Linked DNA regions of Oryzias latipes. The protein of the gene in region 5 binds, or shares a complex with, the protein of the main gene of each other region. Links are inferred from orthologs where the notes say so. Each region holds a gene or a part of one and is shown on either strand. Other genes may lie near its edges. The genes, in order: taf1a, rrn3, znrd1, polr1b, taf1c, taf1b and polr2f.

Region 1 (4,003 bases), on a different chromosome or scaffold from region 5:
CTTCTATCTGACCATGAAGCATTAAGTGGAATGAATGTTCCAGAGAAATCTAAAAAAAAAGAAGAAGAAAATTGCAGAATTTAGAGGAAAAATTATGTTCAAAAGAGGACAAGGGCTCGTTTTAACACACCTTTAGATAATGTTTAAATCCTGAATGCTTCATCCGTTCATATATGACATTGTAGTCATCCATCGTAGATTTGGGATGATGGTGAAGGATCTCAGTGCTGATTCTCCAAACAAGCTACAAGAAGATATTAAATTTACCTTCTTTTTAAGATACACACATTTGGTGAAGACGCAAAAGCAAACTTGCCTCTTTGTATTGCTGTGCTGTGAGATTAACTCTGTCCTCTAATATTTGTGCATAGCTGGCCATGTACTCTGCTGCCTCCAGCCACCTGTGATGAAGCATGGCTTCTCTGATGTACTCCAGGCACAGTCTGACGCTCTGGTGAAATCCATTTTCGTGCAGAGTCTCTGAAATTATTTAAGTAAAACTTACAAATTAATGAGTTCCAAACAAAAATATCATTTTTTGGCTAATGTAGAATAATTCAGCCAATTAGGGTTTGTTTATTATTGCAATAAAATGTAGATGACATATGTTTTCATGATAAGTATAATCTTTTCAGTGATTTCTGAAGATGTTTACTTAAAAAATACCGTTTTAATGACAATCTGTATGGTGTTATCTGACATATGCTCATAAACCCATATTTTTTTAAAGAGAATTAGAGGGGAAAACGCACTTTTATGGAATATAAAGTGTGTCTTACTTTGACAAATTGGTTGGATCAAATCTAACTTGAATGAGCTTCCTTCTTTTCTAGAGCTGTTGTCACAGGAGTCATCAGCATCATCATCATCATTCTCCATGTCTTCACGAGGGTTCAGTTCTTTCTCCAGGTCGTCCATGTTTGGCTAAAAGTTATGGCTCTTCAACCTACGAGGAGAAAAACAATGAGAGACAGTAAAGCAAAAAGTAGCAAACAGGTCCTTTGACATTACAATTTTTCTGTTTTATGAACATTTTAAAAATCACAAAGATGCTCTTCTAGAACTAAATAACGTGTCACTTATGACCAACTGTCTGCAGATTTTTAGGTGTACAACACAATCATAACTACAGGGGTTGACATAGCCCAGAAATTTGCACTGGCCCACAGGGCCAGTAGTTTTTGAAACTTACTGGCCCTGCCTGAAAGTTACTGGCCCGACACCGCGCATAGCGGGACCCGCCGCTCCGCAGGTGCTTGCAACTTTAGGGGGGTCCGGGGGCATGCCCCCCCGGAAACTTTTAATATGGTGCAATTTGGTGCATTCTGGTGACATCACTTATTTCTACACTTTTCAATGACTGAAAATAGACCATATCAAACTTAAATCTGCTCTAGTCTGTTTCAGATGTTTTGAAGAGAGCACTGCAGTGTAGTAGGTAACACTAGTTCAGAAGTTTTCATGGTGCTTCTAACGGCAAATATCACAATAAATCATAAACCTTAAATGTGTTAAAACAATCTAATGGCAGCTTGAACCATTTAACGAATCAAGTAAATCCCTTAATGCATTTGACCAATCGGATGGACGCCTTCACATTGTTGACCAATCAGATGGAGCCCTGTTATGTTAGATGTTTGTAACCTATGTCAACGTGGGTCATTTGGAGTATAATTTTTAAACTGGGAATGGTTATTTGGTTATTTTTCTGTTTGTTTATATACCGCAAATTATATCGTTATCGCAATTTTAATCTCTGATATCGCATATCGCGAGTTTTCCTCATATTGTGCAGGTCTAACTGAGATCATTCAGCTAACTAGAAATACTTACTGCTTACAGTAAGTATTTCTACTTTAAGTAAAATTAAGTAGTTTAACATTCTACTGCATTTGAGTCTGAGATTCAGGTATTTGGAGTTGCCTTTGATTCTTTGACATTCAGCTTAAAGCTTAGTGCATACAGTTTCATCTTCAATGCATTCATTAAATATCTTGCTGTCCATAGTACTAATTCCACCCATTACTCCATCTAACATATTCCTATCTATTCCTGCCATGTCTTCCACATCTCTGACATGCTTCAGTCTCTCTTCAGTGACGGTGTCGGATTTATAATCAAATGTAATAATAACCCACTGGCTTGTGCCTTCGTTGTTGCTGTTTAACATTGTTTTGTATTGAATTGTTACATTCAATAAAGTTTGAAAAAAAAAGTAGTGAGCGCGTGCCGCGTGGTGCTCCGCAGTGAAAGCCGCGCGCGCGCAGGCGGGAGAGAAGGAGAAGTGATCAAAGGTTTCCCATAGAAACCTTTGAAGTCTGAACACAGGACTAGCAGAAAAACTAAATTATGAAGACGAGGTAAATCTACACGTTTTCGCAAAATTTACTTTATTGAAAAAGGTGAAGAATATATAAACAGTTAGATATTTTAGTGGCCCGAGCGGACAAGTGAAAAGTAAAGTCTTGTGGTCCGCACTGCTCGAAAAACAGGACCGGGCCAGCGGACAAATGGCTATGTCGAGCCCTGAACTAGTAGCTGACATTTGATTTGCTTACCTGGCCAGACTAGCCCCACTGAGGCTCACTGTGTTGAAGTTACCCTACTCGAAAATAAGCGTCAAATTAGGATGAAATTAAGGTCTTATCTTACGGAAATAGGTTTTACCTAAATGGTGTCTAAATAAAAGAGTATGCTTGGCACTAAATTGATATTTCTGATTTAAATAACAAAAAAAAACGTAATTCTTGCTACACATGTGAGATGTTTGTAGCCACCACACTTCCGGTGCAGCTCAGGAAGTAGATTGTGAATCTGTCTTGCTATTGGCTGAATCAACCCAAGGAGGCGGGGCGGAGCAGGGGGTTTCCTCCACGTGACTTTTCACGGTCTCAGAGTTCCTTACTTAATCAATAATAATAAACTACTTACTAAAATATAAGGCAAAGAAAGAGCCAAAATTGTAACTACTGCAAAAAGATTTGCCAAATATTTTTTTTGAAGAAGTAAATGGGCTTCGATCTCTTTTTCCCTCTTCTCTCTTCGGAAATACAGTAGTGTGTACTTGTTGACAGTATTTGTAAATGTATCCACTACTTGTGCTAAGAGCAAAAAATGCATTTTAAATCACAAAGTAAGAAAGCTACAGTGTTAGCAAGATTTATTTATTCTCTCAAAACCTATTTTTTATTTTAGTCAATGTTTTGTTTTACTGAAATTTTTATTATTTTGAAATTGAAGAAACATATACATGTAAGTTTTCTAAAAAAAAATAAATAAAACTAATATTAATAGAACACGTAAAAATTATTTTGAGTTGATATTTTTACAATGTCACGGTATGAAGCTTATTTTTAACCATGTCATTTTTTAAACCTAGTAGTAATTATTTATCTTTACTTTCAATATAAGGAAGTCTTCTACAATGTTTTTCAGTGAGTTATTTTACTATTTCCTCGTAATTGCGTTACTTTTGCTCAGAAAATAATGTTCAGTGGTTTGTTATTGGAGCTAAGTGAGTAATTTGAATGTGGCCACACACACAAACACATTAGAGAATGAGGTCGTGCTTTCCAGTCTTCGTGTTTATTCTGGTGTGGACCTGAGGCTGATTCTCAGGTACCTGAATCCGCCTCATCCATCGATGCGAACCCGTCCGGGCCTCCACCCAGCCGGATCTTAACTGCTGACGTGTCAGCTCCTGCGTCCCACTGCTCATGCTCCGGCGGCGGCGGAGTCAAGTCCGGCTACACTAACTGCCAACATGGCAGCAAAACATTTTTACCGTCTAGGCTTTTTATTATTAGTTTTATTTTATTTAATACCAACTGCAGCCTTGGAGAGGAGATTCTCTGACTTTAAAAGATGCGCAGACGAGGAGTGCAGCAGTAAGTTTGCCTGCAGAGCTGGGGAGGGACGCGGCTTCATGGATGCGGCGTTCCCTTCCGTTGATCCTGATACGGGAGCTAGCCATAAACCACGGCTTATCTCTTGACCTGTTGCC
Region 2 (4,162 bases), on a different chromosome or scaffold from region 5:
TCTGGATCCACTTTAGGACAGAGGATCCGGATCCACTTTAGGACAGGGGATCCGGATCCACTTTAGGACAGGGGATCTGGATCCACTTTAGGACAGAGGATCCGGATCCACTTTAGGACAGGGGATCCGGATCCACTTTAGGACAGGGGATCTGGATCCACTTTAGGTTAGAGGATCTGGATCCACTTTAGGACAGAGGATCCGGATCCACTTTAGGACAGGGGATCCGGATCCACTTTAGGACAGGGGATCCGGATCCACTTTAGGACAGGGGATCTGGATCCACTTTAGGACAGGGGATCTGGATCCACTTTAGGACAGAGGATCCGGATCCACTTTAGGACAGGGGATCCGGATCCACTTTAGGACAGGGGATCTGGATCCACTTTAGGACAGGGGATCTGGATCCACTTTAGGACAGAGGATCTGGATCCACTTTAGGTTAGAGGATCCGGATCCACTTTAGGTCAGAGGATCCGGATCCACTTTAGGACAGGGGATCCGGATCCACTTTAGGACAGGGGATCTGGATCCACTTTAGGACAGGGGATCTGGATCCACTTTAGGACAGAGGATCTGGATCCACTTTAGGTTAGAGGATCTGGATCCACTTTAGGTCAGAGAATCTGGATCCACTTTAGGTCAGAGAACCGGATCAGCGAGCACAAATGATGATGTGAATCGTTGTTACAGTGAATGGTTCCACCTAGGGTTGTGCCGATGGACGATATCATCGTCCATCGTGATGGGTGACTGACATCCCGATGGAGAGACCACCATCGTGATGCCACGCCCCCGCCACGTTGCGCGTCGACACCATAAGCCGCGGTTACATGTACAAAATATCTTGATGGGATCAATGGTCGGATTAGTATCCAACCGTGTACATGGGCCCAGAAAAATGTTTTCAGAATATAAAAACGTTCACTAAGGTCACAATTTCGGTCGGAATAAATCATTCGCACATGCGCAGTATTCGCACATGCGCAGTTTGAAAACCGGAAGAGGATACAACTTCCGCCGAGCGGCTTTTTTTTCCAAACTTTATTGAAGGTAACAAATCAATACAAAACGATAACAGCGGCGAGCAGCTATATACATTGACATGTCAGCTCGGTAAAATACGAGACGATCTTCTAAACGTGCTTTTAATAATGTTACGGTTATTATGAAACACCTGTTCGCTCATCATTTGAATTTTAATCCGTGTGGTCAGTGCTTTTTCTGAACGAAGCCAGGATTAGCAGTATGCTAACACGGGCTAACAACATTAGCTTTGGGTGGCGCTGCACGTAAACGTGTAAGAATAACATCAGCCTTTATTTAGTCGGGACACGACTGGAAACACAAATCCGCGTGATTGTTTGAATGTTTTCTAAGGACTGAGCGACATTTCTGCTTTGAAGCTCAAACCGCTGTGTGTGCTGACGATCCGAACTGTGCTCAGACACACGTTTAGACCCGGTTCTGAGTTCGGTAGCTAGTACCCCTAGAGCTGCGGGACGGATCGCAGTCTTAAATCTCCCACACATACCGCTCATGTACCCCCCCCCCCCCTTCCCATCAAACATAAAGCTGTAAATCCGCCCTCCGCCGGTCAACTTCACTAGTTAAGTGCGGGAGCGGACCACTTCTTTTCTATTTTGCTTGTTACTTTTTCTGTTAAAGTCACTTCCCCTCAGTTTATACTGGATCATTGCGGATTAACCATTAGTTGGGAAATAAAATGAAAAAAGCAAAATAACGAATAGCAGTTATATAAGAACGAAAAATGTAAAAATACCCCCCCCCCCCCCCCCCGACGATGTCATCGTCCATCCCGATGGTTGACAGCAAACATCGTCAACGGCCAAATTAGGGGACATCGCCCAACCCTAGTTCCACCCAGAATGGAATATTCACAGATGTTTAATGAGGAAATCAACAGGAGGATTTCCTCTCCCAGAACTCTCTGCATCTCACCAGAACGGTATGGACCAGCTGCTCGTGGTCCTTCTTCAACAAGGTGACGCAGCTCCTGAACTCCTGCAGCCAGCTGATGATCTGAGCGTCCTGTGAGGAGCAGAGGAGCAGCTCAGTACCAACCATCCAACGGGACCAGTCGGCCCAATACCGGAACCCACCTTAATGTCTGGATCTGCCAGCTGATGCTGCAGCAGCTCATAATCACCAAAGTCCCCCTGTAGAACCGAACAGAACATCAACAACCACCAACCAAGATTCTAGTAGAACAGTTCAGGATCAGTTGCATCCTAATGCACACCAGCTTTGTGTTTTTTAGTATCTCCGCAACCAATTTTACAATTCAATGCGAATCAATTTACTTTAAATTCAAACATTAGAAAATACCTCCATAATGCTTTCTTTTTATTTAAATATGCAGCCACGTCACAACTTAATGGAACGGACTGACAACCGGACCAAAGCTTCAGTCTGCGGCGGAAACGAGTACCTGCCGGTGCTTCTCTAACGTCTCGGCCACGCTGCCCCCGAACCGGACCGTTTTCAGCGGGTCAGAGTTCAGGAAGTCCCTGTTAGTGTTCCCCTCCATGGTGGGTGCACGCGCCACCGGCAGCTGGGTTCCCGTCGCTAAAACAGCCGCGCGGACGAAGGCGCGCGGCCCCGCGGCATTCTCTCTGATGTCTTCTCGCTGTAGCTCCTCGATAACGAAAGTTCTACAACATCTGAAACAAACAGAACCAGAACCGACACGAGTCTGAGCGCGTCACCCCCTTTTTACACTACAGCCGGGAAGCAGCGGCGTGCTGGGGACGTGTTTACGTGAGGGACCGGTGTCACACTAAAAGATCTCCGGGAAGAGTTTTTTCCTCACAGTTCCTGCCTTCTTTATTTTTTAGAACAAACATAAAATGATTGAAAGTATATTTTTCAAAGTGACTGTCATTGATTTTAAGTAATTTCTTTTTGTCTAACAACTGTTAAAACTGTAAGATGCAGTAAAGAAAGATGAACATTTACTGATGAAAGGATTTTCTTCAGTTGATCCAACATTCAAGAAATACACGTATTACAGTATTGTAGCAATGCATCAATGACGGAAGCGGAGAGACAAGATAGGAGGATCTCTAGGCTTTATTTTTTTGAACTCAGTGCAAAAAAGAAGTAACCACAACAGGATTAAATAACTAAGAGTGAACAGCCATAAAACAGCCAGATGGAAGGACACACAGGCAAAATAAACCCCGTACTCAACCCAAACGTGACCAGAGCAGGCCAAGCGGATTATATCCCACAATTCCCCGCGCTGCCAGCTCCGACAGCAATGTGCGCGTGACCGCCACTACACTATTATGCTGGAACTGTTTCAGGAGTGGAAAAATTGCATTTAACCTTCTCTCAAAACAAACAAACTTTATGATACAACATTCTAAATAAAACTAAAAATAATATATACTCTATACACAGTGACGTGCAGTCAGGAGAGGCAGGTGCCTCACCTGTCATTATGGGAAGAAAAGAGAAAAAATAAATTCAATTATATTTAATCAGTAATTTGTGCTTTGCAGTCATTTTCCATTTAAATGTACCATTTTTGGGTGTTTTTTCTTTTCAAAATCGCTGAATTTCCGCATTTGCCGTTCAGATACTAAGAAGTGACGTGCGATGAGGCACCAGCCCGCTGAGCCTCACCTTGGATTGCGCAATACCTATGCAGTCAGACGGCACTGCTGTCTCTCTGTATGTCGGTTCAATCACTTGTACTATATCAGCTGAGTTTACATAATTTAGCAGATGTATATGATGTACAGTGTTTTCTTTTATAAATAACTGTATGTGGGGGACGTGTTTCCTGTGCTGAGCGCTAAACCCCGGCAAAAAACTCGCTGGGTGAGGCCAGCAGTTCTCGTGCCTCATGTTAGGGGCGCCGGTGAGCCCTGAGATTATGAATAAGTGATAGCAAGCGGCAAGTCATTTTCTTCAGAAGGAGCGGCGTATGAACTTTATTTACAAGTAAAGGTAAGACGATAATAACGTTTGTGCTTTTTTTTATGCTGCAGTTTGTGTATGAAAAAAAAACATGTTGAAATGATATTTTAAACAAAACACGTTAACTGTTGTCAATTAAATGGTGAATAAGTTACTCAGTATGGTTCATATGTTTGTAAATCTGACTGATGACGTCAGTGCCTCACCAGCCATT
Region 3 (3,811 bases), on a different chromosome or scaffold from region 5:
TTTTTGTAAGAGTTTACTTTTATGCCAAATAGCTTGCCTGCTTGTGCATCTCCTGTGGATAATAGATGAGGGGGGCAGTTATTAAAAAGGCTTTAGAGAGAGATTGGGGGGGGGGGGGGGGTATAGGTATGATGGAGAGCTACTGAGGCCCAGGAGGACCAAACTAGACCAAGGAGGTTGAACTGTTTTTTTCTAAATGCTGCTGGCAACTTAACAGGGCAGTTGTGGTGCAGAAGTAGAGCGGTCAACCCCTGATCAAGAGGTTGCAGGTTTAATTCCCACCCTACCCGCCCATGTGTCCAAGGTTAAGACACTGAACCCCACCTTGCTTCTGGGGGTTATAGGTTGGCAACATGGTTTGGTAGCTGAGCCACAATCAGTGTGTGTGTTCATGGGTGAATGGAACTGTGACTGTAAAATGCTCCAAGAAGATAGTTAAGGGGCTAAATAAGTATACGCCGTTTACCATTCTGCTTCAATAAATCAACAAAAAGAACATGTCAGATACCAAGAGCGTTCTTTATCATTTAAAGAACAATTTAACAGCCATGTGAGATGTAAGTTGAAGCCTTACTGGATACAACAGTTCAAATTTGGTAGAATACTTTATAAAAACATAGGATGACAGTTTTCTGGTCTTTGACAAGAGTTTTAAAGAAATTAATCAAACTATAAAGAGATCATTTTCTGAGAAAATGCGCGCAAGTACTAACAGCTGTCCAGTTGAGAATCAGGGTATGCTTCAGGAAAAATAAATATAAACAGCTGATACAGTTTTATTGTTTCTGGTTAGTTTGCTGAGTTGCTGTCCTGCTCCTTCACTTTAGTTGACTTGTGTAAAATGTATACCTGATTGTCCTGAGCCTCCGTGGCTGCAGTTTAAATCTGAGACATCGATTCCTGTTTTTTTTCTTGTAGAGTCCCGATGAACTGACCAGTGTCATGTGTGACAAAGGTGGAGAGGACCAACACGTGCACCAGAACATGCACAAGTTCAGTTTAACAAACAGAAACAGCTCATCACTACAAAAAAGCAGCTCCCTGGATCAAAACAGAACCAGAGTTGAGGTGATTGTGATCAGATAGTAAGCAAAAGCTTTTCTCAGGAGTCCTCCTTTTCCTGGAACCTGAAACAAGACAAAGACCGGTCAGCTCCAGAACCGTACAGCAGGACAGGAGGGTCACGCTGACGCCACCTACCTGCAGTGGATGCAGGTGAAGAAGACCGTCTGTCCTTCATCTGCAGATCTCATCTGCCTAGTGTGGTAGATCATGCCTTCCTTATTGCAGCGAGTGCAGCGTCGGTCAATCTGCAAGCAAGGCAAGAAGCAAACCGTGAGGCGTTACCGCGACAACGAACGCTCCACTGCTGAGCGGACGGCTGCTTTTACCACAGGGCCCTTCAGCTCTGAGTTCTCCTCATCCTCCAGAGCCAGCAAGGTCTGCTCAGCGGGGTTGAAGATAACCCCAGACTGAATTTCTCTTCCCAAGAACTCTGCAGAGCAAAAGCAGCACAGTTAGAGGATTGGACAGATTAGACCTGTTAGAGAGACATCAGGAGAACCCTTTTGTCAGTGCAGACTGGCTCAAATAATTTCATGAAAGCATTAAGAGTAACTTTCAGCAACAGAGTTCTTCTGAATCCTCAACATCCTTCCCATGACCTGTGATAGTGTCACGTGGTAAAGGACACATGTATGAGCTGCCAGTGGATCTCCAACCCCAATATGAGGCCTTCCCAGGGAGGAGGAGTGAGCCCAGCAGAGGTTACTGTCTCATCACTGCTCCACAGACCGGCTGAGGAAGAAATTCAATGACTGATGTTGATCATATGCTAAATTGATTTGTCTGAAATGTTTCATTTGAGCAGTTTTAGGTGGTTGCTTTTTATTTCCCATTCTTGTTAAAGCATACTAGTCATTAAGAAAGGAGGGCAGTCAAATCAGAGAAACTAAAAAATCAAGGAAGAACTTACACATAATGTGAACTTAAAGGTAGTTGCTGATCAAAAACAAATAAAAAATGGAGGGAAATGTCAGACTGAGTGCCTCATTTTCAGTAAACCGGTAGTTTTGACTGTACTCTTGGTGCTTAAAAGCCATTCGGTTCTTGAGGGACATGAACCAGCAGCAGAGCAGGCAGACTCTCATGGCGGCGTGGACCGCTTACCTGTCACGGGCGTGCAGAGACAGCAGCGAGGGCAGCGCACCGTGTCGGACAGTCCTGGCAACGGCAGGACGCTGCCACAATCCTGACAGAAGTTGGGGTCGCGGCCGTTTGAAGACATTTGCTCTGGTTCTGAGGAAGCGCGGCGGCTATGTTCAGAGCACGTGACACAACAACAGTCCGACAGACAGATAGCTAACACATCATGCTAACTTGCAGGCACGTGGGTGGGCGCGCGCGGGCTCTCGGAGGAGTGATTTGAGGATAATTACCTGATCGATGGCTGTTTGCACAAAAACAGACAATAATTTACTTTCTCCTCGCCCGCATTGGGTGTTGTTGTGCGCTCTTCTTCTTCATGTTAACTAGAAGATGGTAATGTCACGTAAACACGAGCGCCTCGTAGTGGACAGAAATGTGAATGACACCATTGTAGTTTTCCTTCATTTGACCCTAAATTTTAAGGATGTTCCAACGTTTTACAACTCAAAAGACCTTATTTATTCGTAGTTGACTCTTATAAATTCATCACTTACTACTGTTGTAAGTTATATGAAGGTTTTAGACTACTGTAACTTTATAAGTGTGTTTTAATCCAGATATTTTCACCTCTAATGTTTCAGTTAGCCAAAAATCGAATTAATAAATGTCATTTTGTTTCCTTTCTCGCAAATGTTTGATGGTTTTTCTGTCTTTTTAAATCCATTATTTTAAAAAAAATAATTTTAAAATGTATTTAGCAAATTAAGCACTTAGCTTGCATCAAATTCCTTTGGTTGCTCAACATATTTAGTTGTTTTTTTGTTATTTCTCACAGCAGTATTATCTTGTAATATTGCATTTGTGGCATTGTTCATTATTGAGTTTTTCTAATAATTTCAGATGTTTAGCAAATTTAGGAATTATCAGTTCACCTGGGAGCTTTTGCATTTAAGTATTCAAGCTGGCAACAATTTAATTGAATAGCCTCCTTTATTTTTCCTAGGAATTAATGCTTTTCCTGGTAAATCCTGTTTGTACTTCTGGCCACAATTGCATATCTACATGTAGTTTTTTGCAGTTTCCTCTCAAATAATTGTAATTAAATTCCGATCTGTAAAAAATTGAGCCTCCAGTTTCACACACAAGGCAATTAATCCGTATTTATATCTTTGCCCACAGCCTCAAGACAAAATTAGATTTAAACAAGGTTTTTAAAAATAAATTACAACCTGATAAAATAAAAACAACCTGCTTGCCTATTTAAATCGACATAAATTGGCAAGCAGGGGGCATAAAACAACTAGAGCACATAATTATTGATAGTAGATTCATAACTCCCCAGGAACTTCAAGACAAACATGGAATAAATAACTTCTTGGAATATCAGCAACTTAAATCAATTATTACTAAAAAGTTTAAATACAGAGACAACGATTTCAAGCTACCAGACGTAGTTACCACTCTGATTAATTTCTCAATGAAAAAAACTCTCTCCAAAATATACAAACTTTTATGTAATTTAGATAATAATATTTCACTTCCGACAACAAAATGGGATGCGGATTTGAGCATCAGCACAGATTAAAGCTTCTGGTCAGAACTTTGTCTAAACACCTTTAAACTGACCAAAAGTCCAAATCTGCAGCTAATCCATTTCAAAACT
Region 4 (2,401 bases), on a different chromosome or scaffold from region 5:
GTCCAGTTCTAATCCAGATTCTAGCTCAGACCAAGAAAACAAAGACGTTCATGGATAATGATCAGAATGGAGCAGAGCAGGAAGACTGTGACCTGCCAATTGCAGGTTTTACATTACAGCTAGAAGAGTTTTCAAATGGCATTTTGTCATCTGCTCCTGATTCATAACAAACTGAATAAAGAAGTTATCATAAGGTGCTGTTGAAAACATCCTTTTTCTAGCAGGGGTAAAGATGGAGGCAACATTGACCCGGGATGTCCTCAAAGGCTGAACACACCTGATCCAGGTGGCTGTAAGGGAACGACAGCTGGAACCGCACTGGGGTGTCTGCCCTCGCTTAACAAAGACTTCTGTTACAAATAGATTCCAGACGATTGACACGCTTTTGACAAATTCCTTTTTCCAGATCTTTCCTTGTGGTCATCCAGTGTTAAGAGCAGGAATAGAGACGTTCCTCTGTTCTCTCACTATCCTGTGGGGAATACAGACTCTTGGGAACATTCTTCTTCCAATGGGATGTCACTGTGTGGCACCTTTTATTAAAACCTTTTCATGTGAATTAATGGTTCAGTTCCAACATGAGCCTAAACGGCTCTAAAAGGATAATCATTTAAAAAAAGGATATAAACAAAGTGAGATTTGTAAAACTGCTACAAGCTCCAGCGTTTACATTTCTACCCTTCGATCAACGTGAATCTGCGTATTCTGCTTTGCTCTGATATGTAAGAATTCTACACATATCGGGGAAAAGCCACTTTGGATCGTTCCTGTTTTGAGGGGACGTAAACTTCCGGTTCCGGACTTCCGGTTCTGGCTAGTGATGTCTTGCCGCCATGTTGTCCACAACCAGGTCCTCTTGGCTTTATTGGGAAGAACCTGATGGCGGTCATCAGAACTGACACCCCGTCACAATGAACACTTATGAATTTACGGGATTTGAACTCTGAACTGCATCAAGCAAAGTTCTGATAACAGCATGGTTTTACAGAACTGATTCAGTAGAATTTGACTGAAATGTTTCAAAACCACAGCTAAGGCTTTAAGGCACGTATGTATCCTGCAGCACGTCACTTAACCTCAAGTTTTACTTTGATGTTCATCGCTGCCAGTTCAGCTACAAAGTAGCGGAAGACGTAAGGAACAGACACGGCGTTGATGGAGTCACTTTTGCCACAAAGCGTGCAGAGGGTCTTTCGGTGGCGCATGGCTGACCAGCAGGGCGGAGGCTTCTCCAGCAGCGGGGACAGGAGGCTGCCGCAGTCCACGCACATCTGAGCCTCTGAGCGGTCGGAGCAGTTGAAAAGACGATCGTGAAGGAGGAAGGAGGAGCCATGGGCCAGCAGGGCGTCACGCTCCATCTCTCCAAAGCGGATGCCTCCCTGAATGTTCCTTCCTCCAACGGGCTGGTTGGTGACCTTGTCCCGCGCTCCGGTGGTCCTGACTTGAAATTTGTCAGAGACCATGTGACGCAGCCGCTGGTAGTAGACCACACCGATGAAGATGTCTGCCTCCAGCTCCCGACCGCTCACTCCACTGTAGAGCCGCTCTGTCCCGTAGTAGTTGTACCCCCCCGCCCGGAGCAATTCCCCAAAGTGATCCAGCGCAGAGTTCTCCTCAGAGAAGGTGAAGGGTGTGGCGTCGTGGCTCCGACCATGAAGGGCGGCAGACTTGCCCGCCATGCTCTCGATCAGCATCCCGATGGTCATTCGAGACGGGAAGCCGTGGGGGTTGAACAAGATGTCGGGGGTCATGCCGCTCTCCGTGAAGGGCATGTCCTCAGCGGGCCACAAGCGGCTCAGGATGCCCTTCTGCCCGTGGCGGCTGGCAAACTTGTCACCAATTGTGGGGTTTCGTGGCACTCGGGTGGTAATGCAGATGCGTTTGAACTGGCCTGAGCCGCTGTCGTTGCTGCATATCTTGATGTTGTCCACCACACAGGCCTCCTGGCTTCTACAAACCACACAGAATGGCTTTCACTTCCACTGAGACAAAACATGAAGGGAGCAGAGATTTTTGCCGCTTACTTGTAAAAGTGGACGCAGCTTTGTCCCGTGTTGAGGTTGATGTAGCTGTAAAAGGGGTCACCATACTGAAGCACCGATCCGACACGAGGGAGCCCATCAGCATCGAGCTTGTCGTTTACTTTGGGGTCCCCTGGCTTGGTCCCAAACACCACAGCATCTTCCCCCCTCACTTTGTCTGCAAGGTCCACCAATTCTGTCTTGTAGATGCTCCCATGTGCAAAGCCTCTCTCCCACGATGACTTGTTCACAATCTAGTAAGATCAAAGAACGTCAGAATGTAGAGACCCACTCTGAACATCTATTTTCAAAGCATTCCAGGTGGTCTTCAGACTAGGAGGAAGTCATTTTTAGCCTAAATCTAAAAACCAAAGACCAGC
Region 5 (4,096 bases):
TAGCCTCCGGCTTTGGTTTCCCTCAGAGCAGAGAGAGGACCTGCTGAGTAACGCAGCAGAGCCAGCCTCACTTTGATCATAACCCTGCTTGGCTGATGCTCTGCCATCAAAGGGAACCATATGAGGCTGTCAGTGCATGAACTGCTGCTTCCTTACGTGTTCAGTGAAGTCTGCCGGCTCTGGAGGCGTCACAGATGGGAGAAAAGCTGGAACAGAGGACATTCACAGATAACACCACTGTATTCAATAAAACAGCCTCAAACATTTCACTTCCCTGTTTGAAAACGTGAAGGTTCTCCAGCCCCCTGATGATCAGCTGACTGCTCCAGTGATCCAGTGGATCAACTTCAGTAAACTTCTCATCCTAAGTTGTTATTTCAGTCCGTTTCTCCTGAGGTGAAACGTTCTAAAGGGTCTTTATCATGCAGAATCAACTTGTGGAGCTTTTCAGTGTTTTATAATCTTCATTCTTCACTATAAACAACCCAAAGTAGTATTTGGATCCATTCATGAATGTCTGAGTGTTCCTCTAAAAACCTGCTCTCTGAGCACCAGCCCCTCCCAAAACCAGTGCGTTCTCACACTGTGACATCACAAAGTGAGGAACCGCCCCTTTCAGGAAGAGTCTGCCCTGCCAGCCCCGCCTCCAGGCTAATAGACACGCCCACTCTCTCAGTGAAGCTAGCGGTGATCGGGTAGACGCTTTCCTTTCAATACACAATATGCACATCCATCTTTGGAAAAGTTTGAATGTTTTCGTAGGAGAAACGTAGACACTAGGATGATGTCATGAAATGGGCGGAGCCCACAAGGAGAGAAAGGCGGAGCCTCGGAGATCGAGTCATCTTACTTCCAGGTTGGAAAATGAGCTGAAAGTAACTTATATTTCATAAGAACTGTGTCAAAGGTAACAGATAGTCCTATGTGGACATTGTTGACTCTGAAAGGTTCTCAGGGAAAGGTAAAGGCTCTTTAAGCTGCTCTACAAGCTTAAAGCTTCTCTGTGTTTAACGTGTTCTTCCGACATTTTTTCATGATTGAGGACAAAATTAGTATTTCTTTATTTAAATTGTTGTAAATCAGGATAAATTCCATTTGATACAGAGCTTATTTGTTGAGCAACAAATGTGCTGGGCGTGGCCAAAGTCTCCATGCTCCGCCCCTTTCTGATCATCCACCTGCAGACCAACAGACCCATGAACGTCTTTGTTTTCCTGCTCTGAGCTGGAATCTGGATCAGAAATGGACTTCTGTGTAGCTACAGTACAGTTTTTTTTAACGGTAACGTTAGCTTGGATTCGTGAGGGGCTGTACGCCAGGGAAACGACAGCGTGCTTACTCTGCGCCAACAGTCCCGCCCACAACGCAGAGGTGAATTTCTAATGAACTCCTGCTGCTCTGAAGATTCAATGTCCTAGAAAACGACACAGGATTTTGGCTAAAAACAAAATCACCATTATCCAAAGACCAATGGGACTTGGAACGCCTTGATTTGTAGGATTCTCCAAAACTCCCCAGACGATTGTGAGATCAACCTGCTGTGCAACAGAGAGTTTTCTACAATCAGTGTCTCCTTATGCATGAATCTATGCCGCCGTACTCTTCCAGCGGAGAAGACAAACGGGTTTCAGTGGATAGAATCACATCAAATGCCTCGTCTCGTAGCAGAGGCTCAATCTCCTGCAGGAGAAAGCAGCTCACCGCTTCTGGGAGACAGGAGCGGGACGGGCACAGGCTCGGCGTGGAGCCACGTCTCCCCGCTGACCTGGTGTCTGGAGGTAAAGGACCAGCTGGAGCCAGGACCCGCCCCTTCCTGTAAACACACAGAAACAGCGAAGCTCAGGCGGTTTCTGCAAACCAGATATTTTTCTGCCAATCTGCAAAAAAGGTGTGATGGGCATCAAACGCTAGAGAGACGCTCACTCCACCACTGCGCTGATCAGACCTGCCTTACACCAGGATTCCAATTATTACCCTTTAGTTTCATTTACATTCATCAACATAAACATTCAGCCTGGATTTGCTGGACATGCAGCTCCTTCTAGTGTTTTGGTCGTTGAGGTAATTTTGCTGCAGATGGATCGTGATGATTCTTTGTTGCACATGATCCTGTCTCATTTTAAAAAGAGTCCCTGACCTTTTGTAGACCGTAAAAAAACAAAAACACATCTTTATATTTCAGTCTTTATCATGACAAAGAACCAATTATTTTCTATGTCGCATAATAACTAAGCGACATACACTAAGGTGCATTTATTGTGGAGTCCCGGAATCGAAGCCCCGTGTTTCGGGAATATGGATGATGATTGAGATGACACACCATGAGGCAGGCCGTTGCACCAAATGACCCACCTGAGGAATGACGCGCTCGTAACTGCCCCATCCGCCCGCGCAGGGCTTCTGCCTCGAATTCGGGGGTCCGTGGTTGTAAAACGAAGGGAAAAGTTTCAGAGGGAACCGATGATCCATTCGATCCCTTTTGATCTGCTGAAGTAACTTCCAGGCGTCCGGATTTGTGTCACGGCGGGTGATTCCCGGGAACACGTCCGCACATGTCTAACGGCTCGGCTACGCTGTTAGCTCCGCGGCGCGCGCCTGTTAGTCGGACAAAAGGAAAGCTGCGTCGGCGCGACCGCCGCGTGACAGGAATCCACTCGATCCCACGAACGCACGTCCAGACCGAGGTGAAAACACGGCGGCGTCCAAAGACACCACGGACAAACGCAGCTCTTCAAGAACCTCGATCAACACGTGTTCAAGCTCCGACTGTAACCGGAAGTCCAACTCAATAACAAAACAAGAACTTCCGCTACATTTGAAAAAAAAAAGTTTTTAATAATAGAAATAGACCTAGAATAAAGTTGGATGACCCCCTCCAAACAAATGACATTAATAGGTGTGAAAACGTTTTACAATAAAATATCACAACAAAGTTAATACAGAAACGTTCGACATAAATAACAACAACAATGGTCAAACATTATTTATTTATATATTATTATTATTATTATTATTATTATTATTATTATTATTATTATTATTATTATTATTATTATTATTATTATTAATTAAGTAAACAATTCAGTTTGATGGCAACAGTTTAAAAAACAACTTCAAAATAAGAGTTCAAACCGCAAACCAACCTATAAAACATTAAACTGTGAGGGGCAAAGGGAGAAAACTCACAGTGATATCATGCAAACTCTACCATCACAGCAAAATGTCTGACTTCATGTTTGTATCGGTTATAACTCAATTTAAAAGCACAGTATATATTTCCGCGGTGTTTTATTTTCCCGGGACCGGATGTAGCCGTCACACGTCCACCGATCAGCTGACTGCACAGATCGATCCGTCTGAGGAGCAGCGGCGTGAAGGATCCGGGCGAAGGCTTGTGGTTCTCCTGCAGTCTCTGCGTCTGAGGCCTCGTCGTTGGACTGCGGTCCCCGGTGAGTCTGAACGCTCCCCTCCGGAGGGTTTTGGTTTGGAGGCTAACCCGGAAGTCAGCGTACTGCAGTCTGGGTTAGCGTTAGCATGTCGCGCGGCTAGCCCTCCCTGAGTCCGTCTGGATGTCAGCCGCAGGATCGCGTCGGTTCGGGGTTAGGGTAGTCTTCCTCCGAGGATGAAGTCCGTGTCTGCTCTGGAGTCTGCCTGGAACTGATCAGGTTTGAAGGAAACTCCAAGGTGACGCGGTCAGTTCAGTGTTTTTCTCCGTGGGGACGGCCCGGGGTCGTGACTTACCGCATGCTAATCCTCGCGTGAATCGGTGCGGGGCCTTACGGACTCTGCGGGTTGACTGACAGCTGTGTTGAAGTGTTTGTGATGCGACATCTCAGTTTTTTCTCAGCTCAGTGCTGGTTTGCTTTGAAGAATTCAGATGTCTGCAGTGTTCCTCTACGGTGGCCGAGACGGTGCAAGACACGTTGACATACAACAACTACAAATCCCAGATGAACAAATACTGAAACACAACAACGAAAGGTTGACTGGGTTTCTGTAAGCATTCTGTTTTCCTGGAACCTGGCGTGTCATTGAACACATCTGCAGATTATGAAGGGAGGATGAGGATTGGTGTTGTGGTTTCTGCATGTTTGCA
Region 6 (2,855 bases), on a different chromosome or scaffold from region 5:
AAAGTCAGATTTAAAAATATTGCCAGAAGTGACCTGAAGGATCTGCAGGAGTCCGACAAACTGGAACCGAGGAACAACCTCACCTGGCTGTGTCCTGGTCCCTCCTCTGCTGAGCTCGGTTCAGAGCGGTCTGCATCAGTTTGTACCACCTTCGCAGGTTAAACTGGGCCCCTGTCAGAGAGAAAGCATGAGCTTGAAGAGCCCCCACCAAGAGGACTCACACACAGGGGGCACTCACGGACCCTCTCCGTCTGTGGACCTGGCGTTGTTGGACAGCTCCCTGAAACCAGGAGAACCGCAGTGAGACGACCTGTCTGTGGAATGGATGTAGGGGGGTGGGGAGGGCAGGGCAGGGGGGGTTACCATTCGGTGTGGTCGTCCAGGCCAAAGAGGAGCTTCATGGTGACGATAATGAGCGCTGCCGCCTGCAGGTCGTACCGGGGCAGGGTGGGCTGGGACTCGGGGTGGAACGTCTGGCGGCTTTCATGGAACAAACCTGCGAGCTCCGCCACTCTGCAGACCCACCTGTGCAGCTCACCTGCAGACAGGAAGGAGCCGCTCAGCCCGCGCAGCATGCATGTCTGTCTGTCAGCTGGGACGGAGGAAGCTGTTACCGGGCAGGTTTGCATCGATCAGGTAGCGCAGGCTCAGTGGCCCCGGGTGGAGCAGAGTCTGCTGGCTGATGGGAGGAAACGCTGGAAGTTGCAGGAACAGAAGCAGATCCTGAGCCTCCTTATGCAGCGAGCGGTGAGACGGTACCGTCTGCAGAGACAGTTCACCACATCGTCAACAAACAGGAGAACACAGGGCAGAGGTCAGCAGCTCACTCACTCCAGGTCGTTACCTCTGCAGTAAACAGAAGAGCATCTTTGCCGAACAGCTTCATCTGCTCTGGGAGCTGCTCATGGGCCTTCACATACGGGACGCTTCCACAGTTCACCAGTCTGAGAGCAAACACAGGATCAGCCCAACATCCAGCAGTCCAACGCCTGGTTTGGAGGAGCAGATTACCCAAGCAGGTCGCTGAGAGTCAGCGCCTCCCGGCTCCAGACCAAGGCCAAGTGGATCAGGGCCAGAGTCTTCTTCAGGCTCAGGAGTCTATGGCTCCGCCTCTGACGGGGAGTCAGGTAACAGAGGCTGTCCGCTGATCCAGACCAGTCACTGCCTGAGGGATTAGGCTACATTTCAACATACAATACTCACAATACGTCATGGATATTGTGAAAAAAACAACAAACTCAGTGGATGTGATATACACAGAGACGTGGTGAGCGATACGCCGAGGTCAAAGGTCCTCAGGGTTGGCTTTGGGGAAGGAGGTGTAACAGTCTGGACAGGTATCACCAGTCAGGGTCAAACTGATTTGGTTATTGTAAATGACCCAGTCACTGAATGTTCTAACCTCAGAGACATCATAGAACCATTCTCATCCCCCAATTCCACCAGAACACCCCCAGCTTTCTGTTCATGGATGATTACACCCTATCACATGGTACCAGTACTGTCACAGCAGGACTTCAGGAAGTGGGAGTAGCTCATGTGGTATGACCAGCAATGACCCTTGACCTGAAACCCATAGAGAACGTCTGGGACCAGCTGAAGCAGACTGGATGATGGTATCCCACCCCCAAGTGAGCTGCAGAACTACATGCAGCACTTATGGAAGATTGGTTCAGACCAACACCATGAGGTTGGTGAGGAGACGTCACTGTCAAGCTGCTGTTGATGCAAATGCTGCAAATACCCACTATTGACATTTCTGTTATTTGGGGCTATTTTTATTATTGTCCTCATTTTAGGGGTAATATTAACCTAATGAAAATGTTTTTTTCTCATTAATTTTTAGTTATTAGTAATATCTCCAACTTTCTGTCAGTAGTCTAATTCAATAATTAGATAATAATAATAATTCACTCATTTCAAAGTCAGACCCCCCTGTAGTCCCCCAGACGGCAGAGATCTGAGGTCTGGCGTCTCCATAGTCCAGTGACCAAAGACTTCATGGCTGACCCCAGCTGCTCCTGCTGGGGGAGTCAAACATACCTCCTTTAGAGCTGGGGCTGCTGCAGGGATTTGACTCTCCATCCGTCCCGCTGGCTGATGCCACAGACGCCTCGGCTGCGCTGTCTGAATCCGAGTCTGCGTCTCCCTGGGGGGGGGGGGGACAGAACAGAAGGCTGCTGCAGTCATCATCACTCTTCCTCTGAAGACATTTATGTTTGTTCCTGCATTTGAGTGGATCTAAAAATTCAGACTAAACTGATATCCCTCCAGTTATGAAAAAGCATGGAGAGCATATGAATAAATAAACATCCGTGTTAGTACTCATTGAAATCATGTATATGATTATCTCAGCACAGATTTTCAAAGGAAGGTGAGTCACAGACTGAAACTGACCACTCTGAACTTGGCGCTCCTAACTCGGTTGACGCAGTAAGCCTGCCGGCTCTTCTGCAAGTAGAGCCTCCACAGCTGACGCAGCACGCCGTCCTAAAGCGGCGAGCCACACACTGATCAGACGGGCTCAGGCATCGATGGCAGATCAATACGGACAGATTCAGACCTTGAAGTGAGGATGGACTCCCAGCCTAAGCAGGGCATCCGCCTGGTTCATCAGGATGAACTGGAAACCTTCACAGACCATCCATGTGTGACGGCCACCTGAACGACACAGAACACGTGTGAGACAAAGAAACACAAACGTTTCAGATGGGCACTGCCATCAAACTGAGAGGAACCCAAAAGCATTTTCAAAGATCTAAAACTGGAAACGAAGCAAATGTCTGAATGAGAGTTCCAGAGTTTAGAAGCAACAAGGATTCATGGAGGAGCCTGAAGATCAGAGGATGCTGGAG
Region 7 (4,254 bases), on a different chromosome or scaffold from region 5:
GAGCACTGGTTTTTCCTCCAGCGCCGCGCGTCTCTCTGCCAGGGCAAACACTCCCTTTGAACAATGCCGACCTGTTGAGCTGCTTCATTCACATGGTTCCGTGGATAAACTCAGAGAGAGCCTCCGTCTGTTTTCTGACGGCTTCACCAAATCCACAAGGGCTGTAGCCTCAAGGAAAATAAAGACCCGCTGACATCAAAGCTGCATCAATCAAACACCACATGATTCTTGAAGTTTAATCAACTGATTTGGTTCTTTTTTTAAATGACCAAAACTGACCATTTTTTCCCTGACTATGACTCATGCTGACATTAAAACTTTAATAATAACAGTCAGAAACCGTGAAATTATCATAAAAAAAGACTTTATTTATAACAATAAAACAGATGATCTCTGATCAAAATCAACACTTGGAATACTTACAACAAAAGTTCAGTTTGTTAAAAAAATGTGTTTAAACAAAGTTATGTCTCCCCCTACTGGCTCATGCTTGCAAAGCAGGTTTTAAAATGACTGCATTTGCTGCTTCTGTTTGGTATCATCGAAGCTCTGAAGTTCAGCTGAAAGTCCAGGTTTGTTTAGTCGGTAATGATGAGCTCATCACAGCCCCAGTCCTCGTAGCTGCCGTCGGGGAGGTACCTGCGGATGATGATGGGGATCTTTCTGCTCCTGTTCAGAACAAACGGCAAACATTGAGTTACCAGGAACAAAACAAGATGAAAGAATTTAGACAGAAATGGAATAATCTGATGTACTTTAGTTCCTTCATGGCGATCTGCAAGGGGTCTGTTTCTCCCTCCAACTCGACCATCACAGGAGCGCACATGCTGTCGGCAGAACAACGACAAAATCCTCAAAATAAATCCCAAATTGAAGTAAAATGTCATTATTTTAAAGCCAGAAAACAGGCGGGGCAGAGGATTCATGGACTGTTCATTCACACACACACTTTTCAAACCAGTGTGTCCTTAAACGGCCCAAACACAAAAACACAGAGATGTCAACAACCAGGTTCAAACCCAGAACCTGCCTTCAAAGCTGCAAAACTGAGAAATGTAATTCAGTGTCATTTTGACAAAATGAGATGCAAAGATTTTTTTGTTTGTCCCTGAAACACGTGATCTGCAGCAACCAGTTGGGACCTCGTGATGGGCCCATAGCACAGCTGGGGGGCTTTTCTCTAGCTGGGCCAGGGCGTGCATTCTCCATGCTCCTGTGACTCCTTGCTCTTTGGTGCTGGGGACTATTTCGGCAGTCCCTCCTCTGGTATGGATGGCTGGTATCGGGTCACTGGGGTGGTGGATTCCCTCCTGGCTGTGGTGGTCCTGGCTGCCGCTACTGCCTCACCTCATTCTGGGGGGCTTGGTGTGGGACGACCAGGTGCTCCCCCCCTTTTTTTTATTCATTACGCTTCATACCATCATTGTCCACAGTAGAACACAGACAAAAAAACTAAGCACCAATGCCCACTCACCTTGGCTCAGAAAAGGACTTTTGTATGAGATTGTATCTGCTTTTATGCAAATGAAGGTGCATATTTATCTGATCTCTATCTGTGTTGTGTACATGACAATATGCAAGAGTGAAGGTTTTTGAGGGCAACAGGAATGTTTATAATATTCAGTGTGTGCGATAAACATAAACATCTAATTGTGAAAGTTATAAATAACCTCTAGCAACGTTTTGTCTCTTTTTGTTTGCAATGGTGTGTTTCTTTGGTGACTCTCCAACTTCTATATGTCCTTTTCTATCTTGTCCCCCCCATCCCTAATATCCCACTATCCTTCTCCGTTTTCTCCGGTCCAAAAAGGAATGGACACAAGTCCATCATTTTTCTAAAACCGGCCTATTGTAGATCAGGGTCTGAAGGAGCCTATCCTAGCTGTTTTGGGGCAAAGATGGGGTACATGCAGCATAGTTCAATAAGCACAAATATTAATAAAATAAAGTTAAGCCTCAATACAAAAAGGTTTGTAGTGACATAAACCTCCTCTGCCCAAAGCTTCAAAACTCCTATGGTAACATTACAATCTGTCCAACACCAGGGGCCTTCAGCTCTCATCTGTTTGATCAGCTGCTCCACACGACAAATTAGCAAAATAAAATAAGAAGAACAACAAAGCCACAAATGTTTGGAAGCCTAACTTATTGGTTTAGAAGAGTAAAGCGCTTATTTTACAGTAAACAACTCACGCTATTTGGAGGGCTCGTGTTCCCAGCACTCTCGCTCTCTCATATTTGGTCATGTGCGGTGTTGTAATCCTTTTCTGGTTAGCCTGCTGCCCCTCTCCTGCGGGGAGGATCTGTACGTTCTCCTGGTCCTCCTGATGATCATCCAAGGAAAACAAGCATCTGATTAGACTGCCAGATAGAAATCATGAATAATGAACCCCAAATATGATCCACTAAATGAAAAAAGTGCAGACGAACATACATCTTCCACGTTTTCCAGATCGTCTAATCCTTCGTCCTCATCGGCGTCCTCAAAGTCTCCATCATCAAAGCTGCAAATGTTGACAAAAACTGTATCAAAGACCGAAAACGGTGAAGTCGTAACCTAGCTTAGCTAACAGGCTACACGCTAAAATAGATTTAAAATTAACATATACCATGACATTATTTGATGAACATAGATCACAACTTACTTGTCTTCGTTATCAGACATGTTTTAACTTATATTTTTTCCAATATAGATACTAATAGAGTTTATTAGCAGCAAATTTAATTTAGAGGCTAAACCACATTGAGCGTTGTGGTCTCTAAACTTCCGGTGCGCGTGTACGCTGAAAAATTATGTCCGGCTTCTCAACTAGAATTTCTTTTTTTGTCCTACCTTTTTCTAATTCAATTTAAAAACAAGCAAACAAATAGTATATAAAAAGCTTACTTTCTATTATAGTCAAGTATCCTAAACAAAATAAACTTCAACTAGAAATAAATATAAATCCATCAAACTATGGAAAACCAAGGCTGTACCTTTAGAGAAAAAGAAGACACCAAAATGATAGTTTTCAACATTTATTTTAATGTACCCTTGAGAGAAAATGAATACTAATAATTCTTAATTTTTTGCCCTGCATTTATAGAAAACGAGTAACAATGGCATGTCACTTAGTGCAAAGTTAAAGAACAGAATTGGGTCAACCGAATGCGAAAAAACATTCAGAGCTAAGGCTGGATTCTGTTTTTTTTACTCTTCATCTAATATATTTTCCTACGTGATCAAATGAAAAGATATTCACAATAAACAACATAAAAATGTTTTTGCAAGTGCTTTCCTGTCTTATGTAAGAATACTCATTGCAAGAAGTAGTCTATTTAAGTGTACTACAAGTATACTTATAAATGTGAGGCAGTATACTTGACGTTTATTTTTTTAAAATATAATGTCAAGATAAAATCTAGATATTGTAAACTTAAAATTTCCAATTTCCAGTCTCAAGAAATATTCTGTTAGTATACTTCATCTCTACACTACATGAACATGGTCTTTAGTACAGCGTACTTGCTTTATACTTATATTCAAGCAAACTTAAAAAAATAAAAGCGTCAACTTTTTGCTAGGGTTAAGCTCAAACAGCTGGCACTTTGTCAAAGAACAGATCCATTTAGATTCTTCACTTATTTAATAAAATGTGTCTATACAAAAGAGATTTCTTTTAAAACAATTCTTCATTACCTATTTTATAAATATAGCAGTGGATGGGTAAGAATTTCTAAACACAAAAAGGAAGAAATGTTCACGTTTTTAACAACAAAATTAATCCTGTTTGTTGGTTACACATAAACTTTTTTTTTTCAAATATAGCCCAACTATGAAATATGCAATTGATTCTTTGTTAATTTAGTAAACAACAAGTTGCAATAATTTACAATAAAAGTGAACATTTGACAGGAGATTCTTGTCACAACCTTTTAAAAAAATGTCACTTGTAAAATTGCTCTCTTTCACAGTTTTCTATACATTTTCTGATGAACCCCTTTAACCAAATTACTAAAAAAAACTAAAAAGTAAATATAGCAAAAGATAGTGCAGGAATCTGCATGGCTGATTTTGTCTCAGAAGAAATCTGTAGGACAACAACTTTAAGCATTTTCTAGTGATGCAGGTTTGGAAAAATATTTTTCTTAAAACAGGGTTTTAAAAAAGTGGTAAAAAAATAACATCAGTAGGAATTGGTTTCTATTTCAAAGTACTCCGTTTTTCTCTTGCTGGACTTTGTAAACAATTTGAACAGAATGTGCCAAACAGAC

The links.
Region 1: taf1c (region 5) and taf1a share a complex: the UniProt entries of both Homo sapiens proteins name them as parts of the transcription factor SL1/TIF-IB complex. The link is inferred for Oryzias latipes from reciprocal best matches to the Homo sapiens genes TAF1C and TAF1A.
Region 2: taf1c (region 5) and rrn3 share a complex: the UniProt entries of both Homo sapiens proteins name them as parts of the pol I pre-initiation complex. The link is inferred for Oryzias latipes from reciprocal best matches to the Homo sapiens genes TAF1C and RRN3.
Region 3: taf1c (region 5) and znrd1 share a complex: the UniProt entries of both Homo sapiens proteins name them as parts of the pol I pre-initiation complex. The link is inferred for Oryzias latipes from reciprocal best matches to the Homo sapiens genes TAF1C and POLR1H.
Region 4: taf1c (region 5) and polr1b share a complex: the UniProt entries of both Homo sapiens proteins name them as parts of the pol I pre-initiation complex. The link is inferred for Oryzias latipes from reciprocal best matches to the Homo sapiens genes TAF1C and POLR1B.
Region 6: taf1c (region 5) and taf1b share a complex: the UniProt entries of both Homo sapiens proteins name them as parts of the transcription factor SL1/TIF-IB complex. The link is inferred for Oryzias latipes from reciprocal best matches to the Homo sapiens genes TAF1C and TAF1B.
Region 7: taf1c (region 5) and polr2f share a complex: the UniProt entries of both Homo sapiens proteins name them as parts of the pol I pre-initiation complex. The link is inferred for Oryzias latipes from reciprocal best matches to the Homo sapiens genes TAF1C and POLR2F.

Annotation. Positions count from the first base shown.
Region 1 is NC_019882.2:5,957,730-5,961,732, reverse strand, and holds the start of taf1a (TATA box-binding protein-associated factor RNA polymerase I subunit A), read right to left. Parts: upstream 2,801-4,003; 5' UTR 2,559-2,800; intron 947-2,558; 5' UTR 919-946; coding exon 780-918; intron 481-779; coding exon 317-480; intron 245-316; coding exon 131-244; intron 50-130; coding exon 1-49. Other genes in the region: mia3 (transport and Golgi organization protein 1 homolog), read left to right, coding at 3,764-3,887. UniProt on the Homo sapiens protein: Component of the transcription factor SL1/TIF-IB complex, which is involved in the assembly of the PIC (pre-initiation complex) during RNA polymerase I-dependent transcription.
Region 2 is NC_019866.2:25,544,614-25,548,775, forward strand, and holds the start of rrn3 (RNA polymerase I-specific transcription initiation factor RRN3), read right to left. Parts: upstream 2,801-4,162; 5' UTR 2,552-2,800; coding exon 2,453-2,551; intron 2,181-2,452; coding exon 2,124-2,180; intron 2,053-2,123; coding exon 1,963-2,052; intron 1-1,962. UniProt on the Homo sapiens protein: Required for efficient transcription initiation by RNA polymerase I (Pol I). Required for the formation of the competent pre-initiation complex (PIC).
Region 3 is NC_019869.2:21,549,317-21,553,127, reverse strand, and holds znrd1 (DNA-directed RNA polymerase I subunit RPA12), read right to left. Parts: upstream 2,561-3,811; 5' UTR 2,439-2,560; exon of another isoform or gene 2,299-2,438; 5' UTR 2,288-2,298; coding exon 2,170-2,287; intron 1,496-2,169; coding exon 1,392-1,495; intron 1,311-1,391; coding exon 1,201-1,310; intron 1,128-1,200; coding exon 1,103-1,127; 3' UTR 501-1,102; downstream 1-500. UniProt on the Homo sapiens protein: Core component of RNA polymerase I (Pol I), a DNA-dependent RNA polymerase which synthesizes ribosomal RNA precursors using the four ribonucleoside triphosphates as substrates. Can mediate Pol I proofreading of the nascent RNA transcript.
Region 4 is NC_019873.2:3,644,806-3,647,206, forward strand, and holds the end of polr1b (DNA-directed RNA polymerase I subunit RPA2), read right to left. Parts: intron 2,276-2,401; coding exon 2,025-2,275; intron 1,951-2,024; coding exon 1,068-1,950; 3' UTR 501-1,067; downstream 1-500. UniProt on the Homo sapiens protein: Catalytic core component of RNA polymerase I (Pol I), a DNA-dependent RNA polymerase which synthesizes ribosomal RNA precursors using the four ribonucleoside triphosphates as substrates.
Region 5 is NC_019870.2:29,159,904-29,163,999, reverse strand, and holds the start of taf1c (TATA box-binding protein-associated factor RNA polymerase I subunit C), read right to left. Parts: upstream 2,801-4,096; 5' UTR 2,470-2,800; coding exon 2,353-2,469; intron 1,814-2,352; coding exon 1,702-1,813; intron 207-1,701; coding exon 157-206; intron 1-156. UniProt on the Homo sapiens protein: Component of the transcription factor SL1/TIF-IB complex, which is involved in the assembly of the PIC (pre-initiation complex) during RNA polymerase I-dependent transcription.
Region 6 is NC_019882.2:22,300,544-22,303,398, forward strand, and holds part of taf1b (TATA box-binding protein-associated factor RNA polymerase I subunit B), read right to left. Parts: intron 2,662-2,855; coding exon 2,564-2,661; intron 2,491-2,563; coding exon 2,398-2,490; intron 2,150-2,397; coding exon 2,044-2,149; intron 1,166-2,043; coding exon 1,012-1,165; intron 945-1,011; coding exon 845-944; intron 763-844; coding exon 615-762; intron 539-614; coding exon 364-538; intron 281-363; coding exon 243-280; intron 172-242; coding exon 84-171; intron 1-83. UniProt on the Homo sapiens protein: Component of RNA polymerase I core factor complex that acts as a GTF2B/TFIIB-like factor and plays a key role in multiple steps during transcription initiation such as pre-initiation complex (PIC) assembly and postpolymerase recruitment events in polymerase I (Pol I) transcription.
Region 7 is NC_019866.2:19,813,471-19,817,724, reverse strand, and holds polr2f (DNA-directed RNA polymerases I, II, and III subunit RPABC2), read right to left. Parts: upstream 2,801-4,254; 5' UTR 2,666-2,800; coding exon 2,646-2,665; intron 2,505-2,645; coding exon 2,435-2,504; intron 2,325-2,434; coding exon 2,194-2,324; intron 828-2,193; coding exon 756-827; intron 670-755; coding exon 579-669; 3' UTR 348-578; downstream 1-347. UniProt on the Homo sapiens protein: DNA-dependent RNA polymerase catalyzes the transcription of DNA into RNA using the four ribonucleoside triphosphates as substrates.